Linked DNA regions of Mus musculus: regions 1, 2 and 3 are each reported to be linked to region 4. Evidence: microRNA targets listed by miRTarBase, many of them from high-throughput screens and not tested one by one. Region 4 holds a microRNA gene; each other region holds the end of a gene's coding sequence. Distances are between the middles of the regions.

Evidence for each region. Region 4 holds the annotated microRNA mmu-miR-466p-3p (AUACAUACACGCACACAUAAGA, at 1,319-1,340, opposite strand). A microRNA usually pairs through its seed, bases 2 to 8, with sites in the 3' UTR of a target mRNA and lowers its output. Matches are read on the target gene's strand: a 7mer-m8 pairs with bases 2 to 8, a 7mer-A1 pairs with bases 2 to 7 and ends in A, and an 8mer does both.
Region 1: the mRNA of Zfp354a is a reported target of mmu-miR-466p-3p. Seed matches in the 3' UTR shown: 7mer-A1 at 2,705-2,711, 7mer-m8 at 1,165-1,171, 7mer-m8 at 1,161-1,167, 7mer-m8 at 1,157-1,163, 7mer-m8 at 1,153-1,159 and 7mer-m8 at 1,149-1,155.
Region 2: the mRNA of Gas2l3 is a reported target of mmu-miR-466p-3p. The part of its 3' UTR that is shown has no 7-base or 8-base seed match.
Region 3: miRTarBase lists Tbc1d13 as a target of mmu-miR-466p-3p. Seed matches in the 3' UTR shown: 7mer-m8 at 1,992-1,998 and 7mer-m8 at 1,988-1,994.

The regions. Positions count from the first base shown.
Region 1 is chr11:51,070,350-51,073,527 of GRCm38, reverse strand. It overlaps Zfp354a (zinc finger protein 354A), which reads right to left. Exons shown (of 5, transcript NM_009329.4): 5 at 729-3,178. The coding sequence ends at 2,843. Among named protein-coding and RNA genes, the nearest start is that of Zfp354a, 13 kb to the right of the region's middle.
Region 2 is chr10:89,410,625-89,413,802 of GRCm38, reverse strand. It overlaps Gas2l3 (growth arrest-specific 2 like 3), which reads left to right. Exons shown (of 11, transcript NM_001033331.2): 11 at 1-3,178. The coding sequence ends at 600. Among named protein-coding and RNA genes, the nearest start is that of Gas2l3, 32 kb to the left of the region's middle.
Region 3 is chr2:30,149,189-30,152,366 of GRCm38, reverse strand. It overlaps Tbc1d13 (TBC1 domain family, member 13), which reads right to left. Exons shown (of 12, transcript NM_146252.3): 12 at 353-2,667. The coding sequence ends at 2,602. Among named protein-coding and RNA genes, the nearest start is that of Gm31080, 12 kb to the left of the region's middle.
Region 4 is chr2:10,489,552-10,492,729 of GRCm38, reverse strand. It overlaps Gm25285 (predicted gene, 25285), which reads right to left and starts at 1,394; the gene lies at 1,305-1,394. All of the region lies in intron 10 of Sfmbt2 (Scm-like with four mbt domains 2), which reads right to left. It overlaps Mir467a-6 (microRNA 467a-6), which reads right to left and starts at 1,682; the gene lies at 1,600-1,682. Mir669a-8 (microRNA 669a-8) reads right to left here and starts at 1,164; the gene lies at 1,078-1,164.

The sequences.
Region 1 (3,178 bases), not on the chromosome of region 4:
GAGAGAGCAGTGTGGGTTCACTTTTCAGGACTCTTGTTATAGTGAAAAAGTATAAACTGGGAGCTTTCAAAAGAATTTGGTGATGTAGGGATTTGGCAAGCAATTTCTTTTTATATTCGGCAAGCAGGCAGCCAATTAGATTGTCTGACAGATCATCTTAGCGGACATCTCATCAGGATGGAGTACATCTGAGGTGTGAGTTGAACTCCATTGAGTGGGGGAACGTGTCAATTTCCAGAACCAGGTTAAATCACAGTTAACTTGAATTTTGCAGCAAACAGAAATGAGCTTACTTTGAGCTTGTAACAAAATGGTGTTTAACTTTAAGATGGAGTCAGGCTGGTCCACCAAAAGGATATGAGAAGCTATTGTTTGACAGGCCCCCTACCACCACCACCAAGTACAGGTGTTGGAAACAAAATCTCCAATTTAACATCACTGAGAGGTAGAGAATTTAGATGAATTGATTGTTGTTATTATGGAGTATTGGGAGATGGCTTCAGCCAGATTATGTTGTAGTAAGGCCCTCACCCGGTGTAGACTTTTCAGCTATCATTACTGCAAAAAATTTCATCTCATTATAAATTACCTAGCCAGTGATAATTGCTAAATCAACATTAAATGTACTAAAATTGTAGACCTCAGGTTGCCCAGGAAGTTGTGAGCATTCATCTCTATGTAGTTCTGTGTTCCTTCCAACCTTAGCCATTAGCAGGAAGAAATGTGGGTCATCTCATTTGATTTGACATTTTATTTCCAGGTGCTGTGTAGTTACCAGCAATGTGATGTGCTACCTGGTGTGAGATGGCTGTCTTCCCATGTCCCTACAGAGCATTTTGCAGAAAATTGTCACACCAAATAATTTCTGGGTCTGGATCAGCAAAAGGCAACACAACTTTTTTCAACGGAGGATCTGTGGCTACTGCAAATGAAGAATTTAATTTTTAACTGAAAATTACAAATATAGGCCAGGCAGTGGTAGCCCATGCCTTTAATTCCAGCACTCAGAAGGCAGAGGCAGGCAGATCTCTGAGGCCAGCCTGGTCTACAGAGTGAATTCCTGAACAGTCAGGGCTACACACAGAGAAACCCTGTCTCAAACATACATATAGCATATATATGTATATATCTGCACACATATACCCACATACATACATACATACATACATACAATGTCACTACAGTTACAATTAGCACAGGTCTGATCACATTAGGAGAGCAAGAGTAGGAGGAGCTTGTGGTTGTACAAGCATTAGGCTGATGCCTCAAGTTTTAATGGAGCTGAAAACAGAAAAATTCTTGTATTTAGCTGGCTTTTTTTTTTTCAGTCCAGGACTCGTCCGTGGAATGATTCCATGCACATATAGGATGGTTCTTTGCCCCACAGGTAGACCTCTCTAGCAACACCCTCGAAGACATAACCAGAGGTGTGTCCTCTAGGTGATACTAAATCCAGTGATGTTAATAAAGATATTCATATTGGTAAATACAACTTTTAAGGGGTGATATTTTGCTGTCTGGCGAAAACATACCTTTCAAAGGTATCTTCTTATGCTATTTGAGAGACAGCTGAAAAAGAGTTTACTATTTCACCACAACACTAACTCCATTAAAGAGGAGCTAATTCACATGGCCTAGTAATCTTTTCATCACCCCAGAGTCTAGCATTTCAACCCATAAATTTGGGGGGCACACACGCAGCTCTAAATAATAGCAAGATCTTCAGCATTTTCCTACAGGTGTTAGATTTGCCATGTCTTCTGATAAGGGTTTTGCGTGTGTGGTTAAAACTTATATGTTCTTAGTAACTTTGAGTTTATTTCTCACTTTTAGAAAGATTTAAACTGTGTACACACACACACACATGAATATGCAATGTGTGCAATTGCCTGTGAGGACTAGAGACATCAGATCTGCCTGCAGGTAGGGGCATTTGTGAGCCACCTGACATGGGTGCTGGAACCTGAGGCTGGGTCACTTGAAACTGCAGAAACTCCTAACCACTGAGCTACTCCTTAGTTGCTGTTCCCGTACTTAACACACAACCTCGACGACAGCACATGGGTCAAAGGTAGAATTTAGTAGCACATGACTTTGAAGCAATCAAAACAACAGCAACAACAAAAACCTCTGGGAACAGAATTAATAACTAGGTGGACTATCTCCAATTCACAATACCAGGAGATGAGCTTTTTATTTTTCATTTATAATAATATCCACACACATTTGAAATCCGGTCAAGAAAAGGAGATGTTCCAGAGACTTAAGAGGTAGATTACAGCTCATTTTAATCTTTTATTTTGGCTCTTTTTTCTTAAAAATGAGTTGATCCCTTTTGAATGTTATTAAAGTGGTATAAAAATATCACCACAGTAGAGTTTAGTGTTTTGCTACTGAGAAGTCCAGCGCACTCCTCTGTGCACTTAGATGCCTATAATTACAACTGTTTCTAGCACACACTGCTGCAGAGAGAAAAGCACCATTTTACAAATACCTGAAGTCAAGGTCTTCAACTGTGAACTCTCCATTTCAGGTCACTGATCTTTTGAGATGGAAACCTCCCTAGGTTTGCTGAGGCTGCTTCAAACTCATGGAGTCAAGCAATCCTCATGTCTCTGGGTCCCAGTAGCTACATGTATGAACCCCTGGATCTCAAGTAATTTTTAAAAGTGTTAGACAGGCATGACCATTTTGTTCCTACCTGTTACATAAAACTTATCCATGGAATTTAGTTGACAGTAACTAAATGATTATAGAGACCCCCCATATTATGTTTATTACATCTCTCAAGATATTCTCTGAAGAGCTTTGGTTTAAGGCTTTTACACCTGCAAATGTATTTTTAAGGGTCCTCATCCACGTGAATTTTATAATGGTTGGTGAGGGATGACCTATGGTTGAAAAGTTTCCCACATGTGTTACATTCATAGGGTTTCTCTCCAGTATGAATTCGCTGATGTGCTATCCGTGAGGAGCTCTGCCTAAAGGTTTTCCCGCACGTGTTACATTTAAAGGGTTTCTCACCAGTGTGAATCCTTCGGTGCTGAATAAGAGCTGAACTTTGACCAAATGACATCCCGCATTCCTGACATCGGTACGGCTTCTCTCCAGTGTGGGTTCGCTGATGGTTACTTAGGGATGAGTTACACCTGAAGGTCTTGCCGCACTCATTGCATTT
Region 2 (3,178 bases), not on the chromosome of region 4:
TCCAAGTCCCCAAAGCTACCTAAAGGAGCCATGCACGGAAGGCCTAACCCTTCTCCTTTCCAGCCACCTGCCAAAGTGACCAAGCCCAGTTCTAAAACCGGAGCCATAGGTCTAGGGACACAGTCTCAGCCACCCACTAGAACGCCGAGGTCAGGAGCAGTCTCAGCACAAAGACTTCAGTCTACATTGAATTTAAACAGTCCAGCTTCTGTGTGCTCAGGGTCCTCTGCAAAAGCTACTCAGGGATCGAAAGGTAAGAATACAGTTTCAGTTGCCAAAAAGCAACCTCAGAGTAAGGGTGTCTGCCGGAATCCGGGACCTGGCTCTTCAAAGTCTCCTGGCCGTACCCCGCTGTCTATTGTGACTGTTCCCCAATCTGCTACCAAGACAGAAACTGTCTCGAAGTCAGCCAAGACTGCCATGAAGGGCCAGTACTCAGCTAAAGGGCCTCCCAAAAGCAGCAAGCCACCAACTTCCTTCAGGGACCCACCCTCATCTGGTAAGGGGGCAGACAGCGGAGATAAAATGCCCACTGCCAGGAAGAAGGAAGAAGATGACCATTATTTTGTTATGACCGGAAATAAGAAGCTTAGGAAATAAATACACTTGTATCGTTTCAGCAAATCAGGGTGATCAATGAATGGCGAGCCACAAGGATCACCAAAGATCTTCCTATTTGTGTCTGTCCGGAGAGCTGCAGACATGAAGTCAAGATGGGATGAAGCTGGGTCAGGGAAAGGACCCATGCATTTTGTGTATCAATGGACAAATGTGTGAGTTTTGACCTGTATCATCTTGCTAATGATGTCTGCTGTTTGAGGGAAGTGTAAAAGTCCAAGAACACTACTAGAATTTTAACTATTGGTGGTATATTTTTGAACACAGGTTAACTGTGGAGGTTATCTGCTAATAGCAACTCCGATACTCTTAAACACTAGTTACTGTGCTCAGCCACAAAGCAATGGTTTGCTTGGCGCTAGTGTGTGCCTGTAATCCCAGCTCCGAAGGCTGAGGCAGGGGTACACAGTAGAAGCCAGCAAGGTTTTGAAATGTGCTGTAATAGGCACCTAATTTATTGGTCAGGAATCCTGGTCCAGCAATCCTAAGTACCAATGGCTCCTGCTGTTTACTTTGATATTATTCTGGATTAAATGGAATTCTTACTATTTAAATCTCTATAATATTTCCGTATCAGAAGGGACTATTTGGTTTTTTAATTAAACTTGGCTTTTTAATACTGTATCATTTTATAACCAATATTTTTGATAAAAAGAAAAAAAAACTCAACCAAGTAAGTTAACTTATTGAATCATAAGCTGAAATTTAGTAAGAATTAAGTTTTTTAAAAAAAAAAAATATATATATATATAATCTAGACACTTTGTATCTTATATTTTTAGATGAAGTCTGTGCAGTGTGACAGGGAAACATTTAATAGCTTTTAGCATACTAAGATATTTTAAATAGACATTTCCTATATGTACATATAAATTTTTTCATTAAAATAATGTGTTTTGATACCAGAATTAGGTTTTAATGATCTTAAAATTAAAAGGGATGGGGGGTGGCTCAATGGATAAGTCATGTCTAGTACAGGCATGGGGATTGGAGTTTGTGTCCCCATACCTACATACAAATCTGGGTGGGCTTGATGGTCTGCCTGTAGTCCCAGCACTCAGGAGGAAGAGACAGGATTTCCTGGGACAAGCTGGCTGGCGAGAGGAGCCGATGGATGAGAGGCAGCTCTTTTGAGAGACCACCCCTACCTTAGTAAAAAAGGAAGATTCCCAAAGTCAATGTCTGTTCTCTCTATGTACAGACTCATACATATATCCTGTTCACATATGCACACACACACACACACACACACACACACGCACACACACCTATGAATGCATATATACACACAGACTCACATACATGCATGCACACCACATATATTGACGCGTACAAAAGATTAAGATGGTATTAAGAGAACCTTTGTGTGATGCTATGCACACATCTCATCAGGTGACTTGTATTTCTTTTGCTAGCACACTGTCGATTTTAATTAGTCTCCAGATTATGTTCATCTTCATTAGTAAGGCCATGTTGTGCTCAGTTTTCCAGTGCCCAGCAGACAGTGTACCTTCTGTTCTGTAGGCAGATTCTCGTCAGGAATATCCAATGATTTCATGACAGCATAAACACCTTCCACCCACAGGGATACTTGTAAATGATTTATGTACAGGCTTGTCACTATTTAAAGTTTATTAATGTACTTTGGGAACTTTTAAGGGTGTTAAGTAACTATGGTATTACCAGTTATCCTAAGTTGTAGGAAGGAAAAGCAGGTCTAAGAGGTACACGCTTGTAATTCCATTACTTGGAAAGTGGAGGCAGGAGGATCAGAAATTCAAGGTCATGTTCAGCTATGCACTAGAGACACGCCTCAAAAAAAATTGTCACTTTGACTCCTCTTTTATAACTCAGATGCCCTCCCTTTAAAATCTGCTTTCCATCCTCCTCCTCTTCCTTTCTTTTCTTTGTGAGACTGAGGATCTATGGTGTCTTACATTGATAGATAAGCATTGCGACTGAGCTTCCTCCTCGGCCCCTTCAAATACGGTTTCTAACACAAACAAAATAGTTGACCCAGACCTGCCATCATTGAATGAGTGAGCATCGTGGCTGGCTGCTGGCATTCTCTAGACCTACATACAGCAAGAGAACCTTGGGTAAAGACCACTGGATCTTTACCCAAGCAGTATGCATAAAATCAAAGATCTACTCAGGATCCCTTACAACAGAAAACCACCAAAAACTTGCCAAACGTTCCGGTTCTGAGCATCACTAATGGCAATATGTACATCTTTGAAAGCACCTCTTAGCACTCAAAAGAGATGCCAGGGGCATTTCTGTAATCAGGAATATCTAACACACCTTTCAGAGAGGAAGGATTGTAGCTTTAGAGAGGCTATTCCCTCATAGAGAGGGCCGCCGAAACTATTTCTAGATCAGTAACTTCTGAGAATTAAAAGAAAAATATAAATTACACTATAGGCAGACTAAACCTATGACTCAGTACATTGTACAGTTTTATAAACATTATCTTTTGTGCTGGGTAATCAAGAATAAAGATATTCTCAGACACCTGGCACAAATTCCCGAATTAACTTTAGGATTATTTATTTAAGAT
Region 3 (3,178 bases), 20 Mb from region 4:
AATGCGCTGCCGGAAGTGCGTGAGATGGCTGGCTCAGTGGGTAAAGGTGCTCACAGCAGCCCTGAGTTTGCTGGGACCCACATGATAGCAAGAGGGAACCAATGCCAGCTAGACTCCCTCACCCGCAGGCTGCACACAAAGAAATATAATGTAAGAAGATTAATAATAATGTGTGCCCAGGCGCACCTCCTCCTTCCTAAGGCCGTCTCTGGCTGGCCGCAGCCGAACTGCAAGTGTCTTGGCAAGCATCTCCTGGTCTGTCTTAGAACACTCTAAGGGACTCTGGCTCTGTCCTTGCTCCAACTGTTTCCTCTCCTCCAAAGTCTCAAGTCCAGCCAGCACAGCACCGACACGCATGGTAAAGAGCACAGTTTATTAAGGACGACTCATCAACAGCCCTGGCCTGCTGAGCTCCCGGGAGCTGCAGGAGCTCAGGCTCGGGGTTCCCCCTTAAGAATCAAGGGCAGATCCTTCCCTCAGGCAGCGTCCAACTGCGGAGCCACCCTACCCAAGACAAAGTCTCCATGTCCTTGGCCTTCATCTCAAGGACCAAGTGGTGGGCACAGGATGCAGGTCTCCCACAGAAACAAATCAGATGCAGTGATTCCAGTAGCATGGTCCCAGGAAACGGGGCAAGGGGTGGGGTGGGGGAGGCAGGCAAGAAGGAATGAATGCATCCGCGTCCTGGGCAGCATTTGCTGCGTCCCAGTCAACAAAGGGAGCAGTACTGGGGCTGAGCTACCAGCTACCAAGTCCTAGGTCTGGGGGCGGTCAAGATGGCGGGAGTGTATATGGCCTCCCTTATACTCGGCTCTAGGGTAAAGCTGGCAGCCCTCTCAGGCAGGAACGGGGAGAGGATGTCAGGGTTAACCTTGGGGAATAAGACAATCCATATTTGAATTCTCCAACTCCTTTAGCATCCTGGCCACTCCTCCCCAGGTCACTTGCCACTCTGCAATAAATAGCTAGCCTGTGTCCAAATAAATAGTAAAATACGTCCCAGGTGTTGTGTATTGAGAGAGAAGGTAGTAAAAAGGCAGGTAGAGTCCCAGCAGCACTCAACCCAACCTGGCTAAAGCAATGGCCTGGGAAGGAGGCAGCCCTGCCCTCTGCTCTCAGGAAGGCTTCAGGTGCCAGCTACTGGAGCCTCACTCCTGCTGGCCAGTCTCTGGAGAAGGTTAAGAGCCCTTGCTGCCAACCTGCCTTCAGGACTCAAGCCACCTGACCTCCGGAAGAAACATGGTCAGAAAAGTCTATAGGGTTCAGGGAACCCAGCCCCAAAGTCAGAAGATAGATCAAGCACATGACCAGGAAGGCCAGCACCTCCGAAGCCTCCCCCCCCCCCCCCCCCCCCCGCCGCCTCCCCGCTCCGCCTCCCATGGGGGCAGATGGCAGAGGTAGCCCTCTGGTACTGTGAAGCTCCAGGCCTTCCAGTTTAGCCACCCTGGACCCAGAGAAGCTTTCTTTGGTCCCTTGCCCTTGATGAGAACTACACACACCAGATGGGAACATGGCCATCAAAGAGATGACATCACTCCTGAAATGGCAACTCCCAGGCACACAGCAGCCAGGGTATCTTACTCTCCAACTGAAGGCTCTCCCCATCCCTCCTTTCTCCATTCTTGAGTAGAAAATGGGCGAGAGGCTCAAAGCATCACAGGCTGCCATTGGAGCAGGTACTGGGGATTCCTGCTCTGACATAGAGGACCTGGAGGCCTCAGGCTGGGGATGGGAACAGGATGCCAATAAAGTTGGCCTCCAGGGCTTTCTCACTAAGCTACACTCCTGAATGCTGGCCTCAGGGAGCAGAGGGGAGGAGAGCGCCAGGGTAAAGAGGACAGACAAAAGAAAGACAGCAGGAGCCACACACGCCTCTGGCAAAGGAAGAAAAGGGACAGGCAGAGGTAGACACAGAGGGGAAGCAGGGCCTTAGAGGGTTCCCACATACCCTCACCCCACTGCCAGGGCATGTGTGAACACACATGTATACATACATACACACACACATACACACACACACACACACACACACACACACACACACAAAGCAGAGACCTGGGAGACAACCCTACCGGCCACAAGCAAACACACCGGACAGGGACAAACGGTGGCCCTAGAACTGGCAGTCACTCAGCTCTTCTGGGGTGCTTCCCCAGGCAGTCTGAGCACCAACACTCAGAAGTTGTTTCTGGCCCATTAGCTAATTGCCTCCCCTGACCAGGACTCAGGGAAGATGAAAGCACAGGGGTGAGGAGCTACTGGGCAGAGGCATGGCAGGACCCTGTCAGCCTCCTAGGCCCCAAATGGCCCCAGCCCCAGGAAGCCAGTTCAGGAGCTCCGGCCCTGCTGAGCAGTCTGGGTGGAGGGTCCCAGGGCTGAGGTGCAGGGAGTGTGGCAGGGCTGAGCACTGGGAAGGAGCGCATCGCGGCGTGCTCCAGGAGCACCCTGGACCATGGGAACCAGGCTGGGAAGACCTGGAGCTGGCCAGGACTGTAGCTTCCCTTCAGGCTGGCTTTCTCACAGGCTCCTTTGTGTCCCCAAAACAAGGGTGTGGAGCAAGCGCAGTGGCTGCTCTTCCAAAGCTGGGACCCTGCTACCACGTTACTTCGAGTCTTGGAGTTCCTTGGCTTTCTGTAGGATCTGGCAGACGTCTGTGATGGGGTAATCCTGGAAAGCGGAAAGCGAAAGCAAGGTCATGCTCCTGGAGCAGCAGCCACTTTGCTCCACTTGCCACACCCACCACCTTCCCAGAGACTCGTTACCATGGAATGGCACCAGGGCCAGGGACCATGGTGTACCAGACACCCAGAGTAGCCTGCCCCAAACACTGCAAGTCACTAAGGTTCTGCGTCCCAAGGCCCAAAGGGTCTCACAGCCTGTATTAGAACCAGGGTACCCAAAGGCCTCAGCCCTCACGTCTGACACAGAAGCTGGAGCCACACCTATGAACAGCATGTTGCTAGCTCAGGCAACATAGCCCTTGGTTTTCTAGTCACCTCAGGAGGCTCAAGGAGGGGTACTGTGATTATGGCCGTCTTACAGACCTAGCTAGTGAGGTTATTGGAAACCAACCCTAGGCCAGGTGTTGGAGACGCACTAAGGCCTAGAGACAAAGTCACTTGGCTCAAGTCACATGAGAAGCAGAGCAGAACAGATATGGACGTTAGGCTGGCTGTCA
Region 4 (3,178 bases):
GTGGGAGTATGTTTGCATGTGAGTATATGCATATTCATATACAGAAGTGAATATGTACACAACTATACACACCTGCACATTCTTGGTGGGCATCACATGAATCGCATGCTGAACTCTAACTCATCATGAAGTTAAACATGAATTTGAACTCCTCATCCTCCTGACACTGGCAAGAGTGCTCACCTCCTAACTGAGACATAGCTCTGGCCATTCCTATGAATGTGTGTGCATGTGTGTATATGCATATTCATATAGAGAAGTGAATATGCACACAACTATACACACATGTACATTTTGGTGGGCATAATATGAATCCCATGCTGATCATGAACTCATCATGAAATTCAGCACGAACTTGAACTCCTGATCCACCTGACTCTGTCAAGGGATTTCACCTACTGAGTGAGACCTCTCCCCATTCAGTACTGAAAAATCTTAAAACTCTAAGTCACATGTCATTCAAATGGATCGATGAGTTGCACTGATGTTTTTGTGTGTGTTTCTGTTTGTGTCTGTGTACATGTACATATTTGTGTAGATAGGTACATCCATATACTCAAATCCACACACAATAGAAACAGATACAGATAGGGATACATAGGGGACATCACATGAATCCCAGGCATATCTCTAAGTCATCATGAAGTAAAGCATGAATTAGAACTCCTGATCCACAATCTTTCACACCTGATGAGTAAAACCATTCACTGTCCCACTACTTCATAATCTTGAAAACTTTGAGTCACATGTCATTCAAACGTATAAATGAATGCAATTTTTTCCTGTGTGTGTGTGCTTGCATAAACACGTGTGTTTATGTTATGTATATCATGTCAACACATACAATGCACATACAAGTAAGCACACATGCACATACATGGGTTGCATGACATTAATACCAAGATGATCTCCAAATGAAGTTAAGCATGAATTTGCAATCCTTATCCTCCTGACTTTGTCAATCTTTTACACCTGGTGAGTGAGTCCATTCAATGTCCCCTATTGCATAATCTCTAAAACTCTACATCACTTATCATTCAAAGGGATTGGCGAATGCCATTCCTGTGTCTGTGTATGTGTGCTTGCGTTTATACGTGTGTGTGTATGTTATGTATATTCAAATATAGACATGAACATGCACACACAACTATACACACATGCACATACATGGAGGAATCACAGGCTGATCTCTCATGAGGATAAGTGTAAATTTGAACTCCTGATACTCTTAACTCTAGCAAGCATTTTCACTCTAAGTCACTTATCATTCAAATGGATTGACGAGTGCCATTCCCCTGTGTCTGTGTGCTCATATGTGTCTTATGTGTGCGTGTATGTATATGTATATCATATTCACATATGTACATGCACACACACATCAACACATATACACATACGTAGGGGCAATCACATGAATGCCAGGATGACCTCTAACTCATCATGCCTTTACTATGAACTTGCACTCCTGATCTTCCCGACTCTACCAAGGGTTTTCCCGTGGTTTGTGAGACCTCACCCTGGCCCAGTCATACATAACCTCCAAAGCAGTAGGTCACATATCATTCAAATGGATCCGTGAAGGCCATTTCCGCATGTCTGTGTGCATGTGTGTGTAGGTGTGTGTATGTATATGCATAAAATATACACGCATATACATGCAGGCACTTACGCACACGGGCACATACATAGGGGCCATCACATTATTCCAGGATGATCTCTAACTGCTCATGAAGTTAAGCATGAAATTGAACTCCTGATCCTCCTGACACTGCCAATTATTTACACCTGGTGAGTGAGACCTTCACTGTCCCTCTACTTTATAATCAGCAAAATTCTAAGACATATATCATTCAAATGGATCAATGAGTGTCATTCTTATGTGTGTGAGTGTGCACGCCTGTGTGTGTGAATACATTTGTATGTGTGTGTATTTATATGTATGATCATATACACACATGTACGTGCACACACAATTATATGCACTTGTGCATACCTAGGATCCATCACACAAATACAGGGTGATCTCTAACTCATTATGAAGTTAAGCATGAATTTGAACTCCTGAGACTCCTAACTCTGGCAAGTGGTTTTCATCTGATAAGTGAGATTATTCCCTATACCATGAATATACACTCAATGAAATTATAAGCACGTATAAATCAAATGGATGACTGCCATGTGTGTATGTGTGCACATGTATGTGTCCCTAGTTGTGTGGGTGTGTATATATATATATATATATATATATATATATATATATATATATGCATGTTCATATACGCGCATGTACAGGCATACTTCCCTATACACATAAACACAAACACAGGGAAAATCACATGAATTCCCGGCTGATCTCTAACTCATCATAAAGTTAAACATGAATTTGAACTACTCATCCTCATGATGCTGGCAAGAGTATTCACCTCCTAACTGATTAATAGCTCGGGCCATTCATGGGAGTATGTTTGCGTGTGAGTATATGCATATTCATATACAGAAGTGATTATGTACACAACTATACACACATGCACATTCTTGGTGGGCATCACATGAATCGCATGCTGAACTCTAACTCATCATGAAGTTAAACATGAATTTGAACTCCTCATCCTCCTGACACTGGCAAGAGTACTCACCTCCTGAGACATAGCTCTGGCCATTCCTATGAATGTGTGTGCATGTGTGTATATGCATATTCATATAGAGAAGTGAATATGCAGACAACTATACACACATGCACATTTTTGGTGGGCATAAGATGAATCCCATGCTGATCATGAACTCATCATGAAATTCAGCACAAATTTGAACTCCTGATCCACCTGACTCTGTCAAGGGACTTCACCTGCTGAGTGAGACCTCTCCCCATTCAGTACTGAGGAATCTTAAAACTCTAAGTCACACGTCATTCAAATGGATCGATGAGTTGCACTGATGTTTGTGTGTGTGTTTCTGTTTGTGTCTGTGTACATGTATATATTTGTGTAGATAGGAACATACATATACTCAAATCCACACAAAATATAAACAGATACAGATAGGGATACATAGGGGGCATCACATGAATCCCAGGCATATCTCTAAGTCATCATGAAGTAAAGCATGAATTAGAACTCCTGATCCACAATCTTTCACACCTGGTGAGTAAAACCGTTCACTGTCCCAGTACTGCATAATC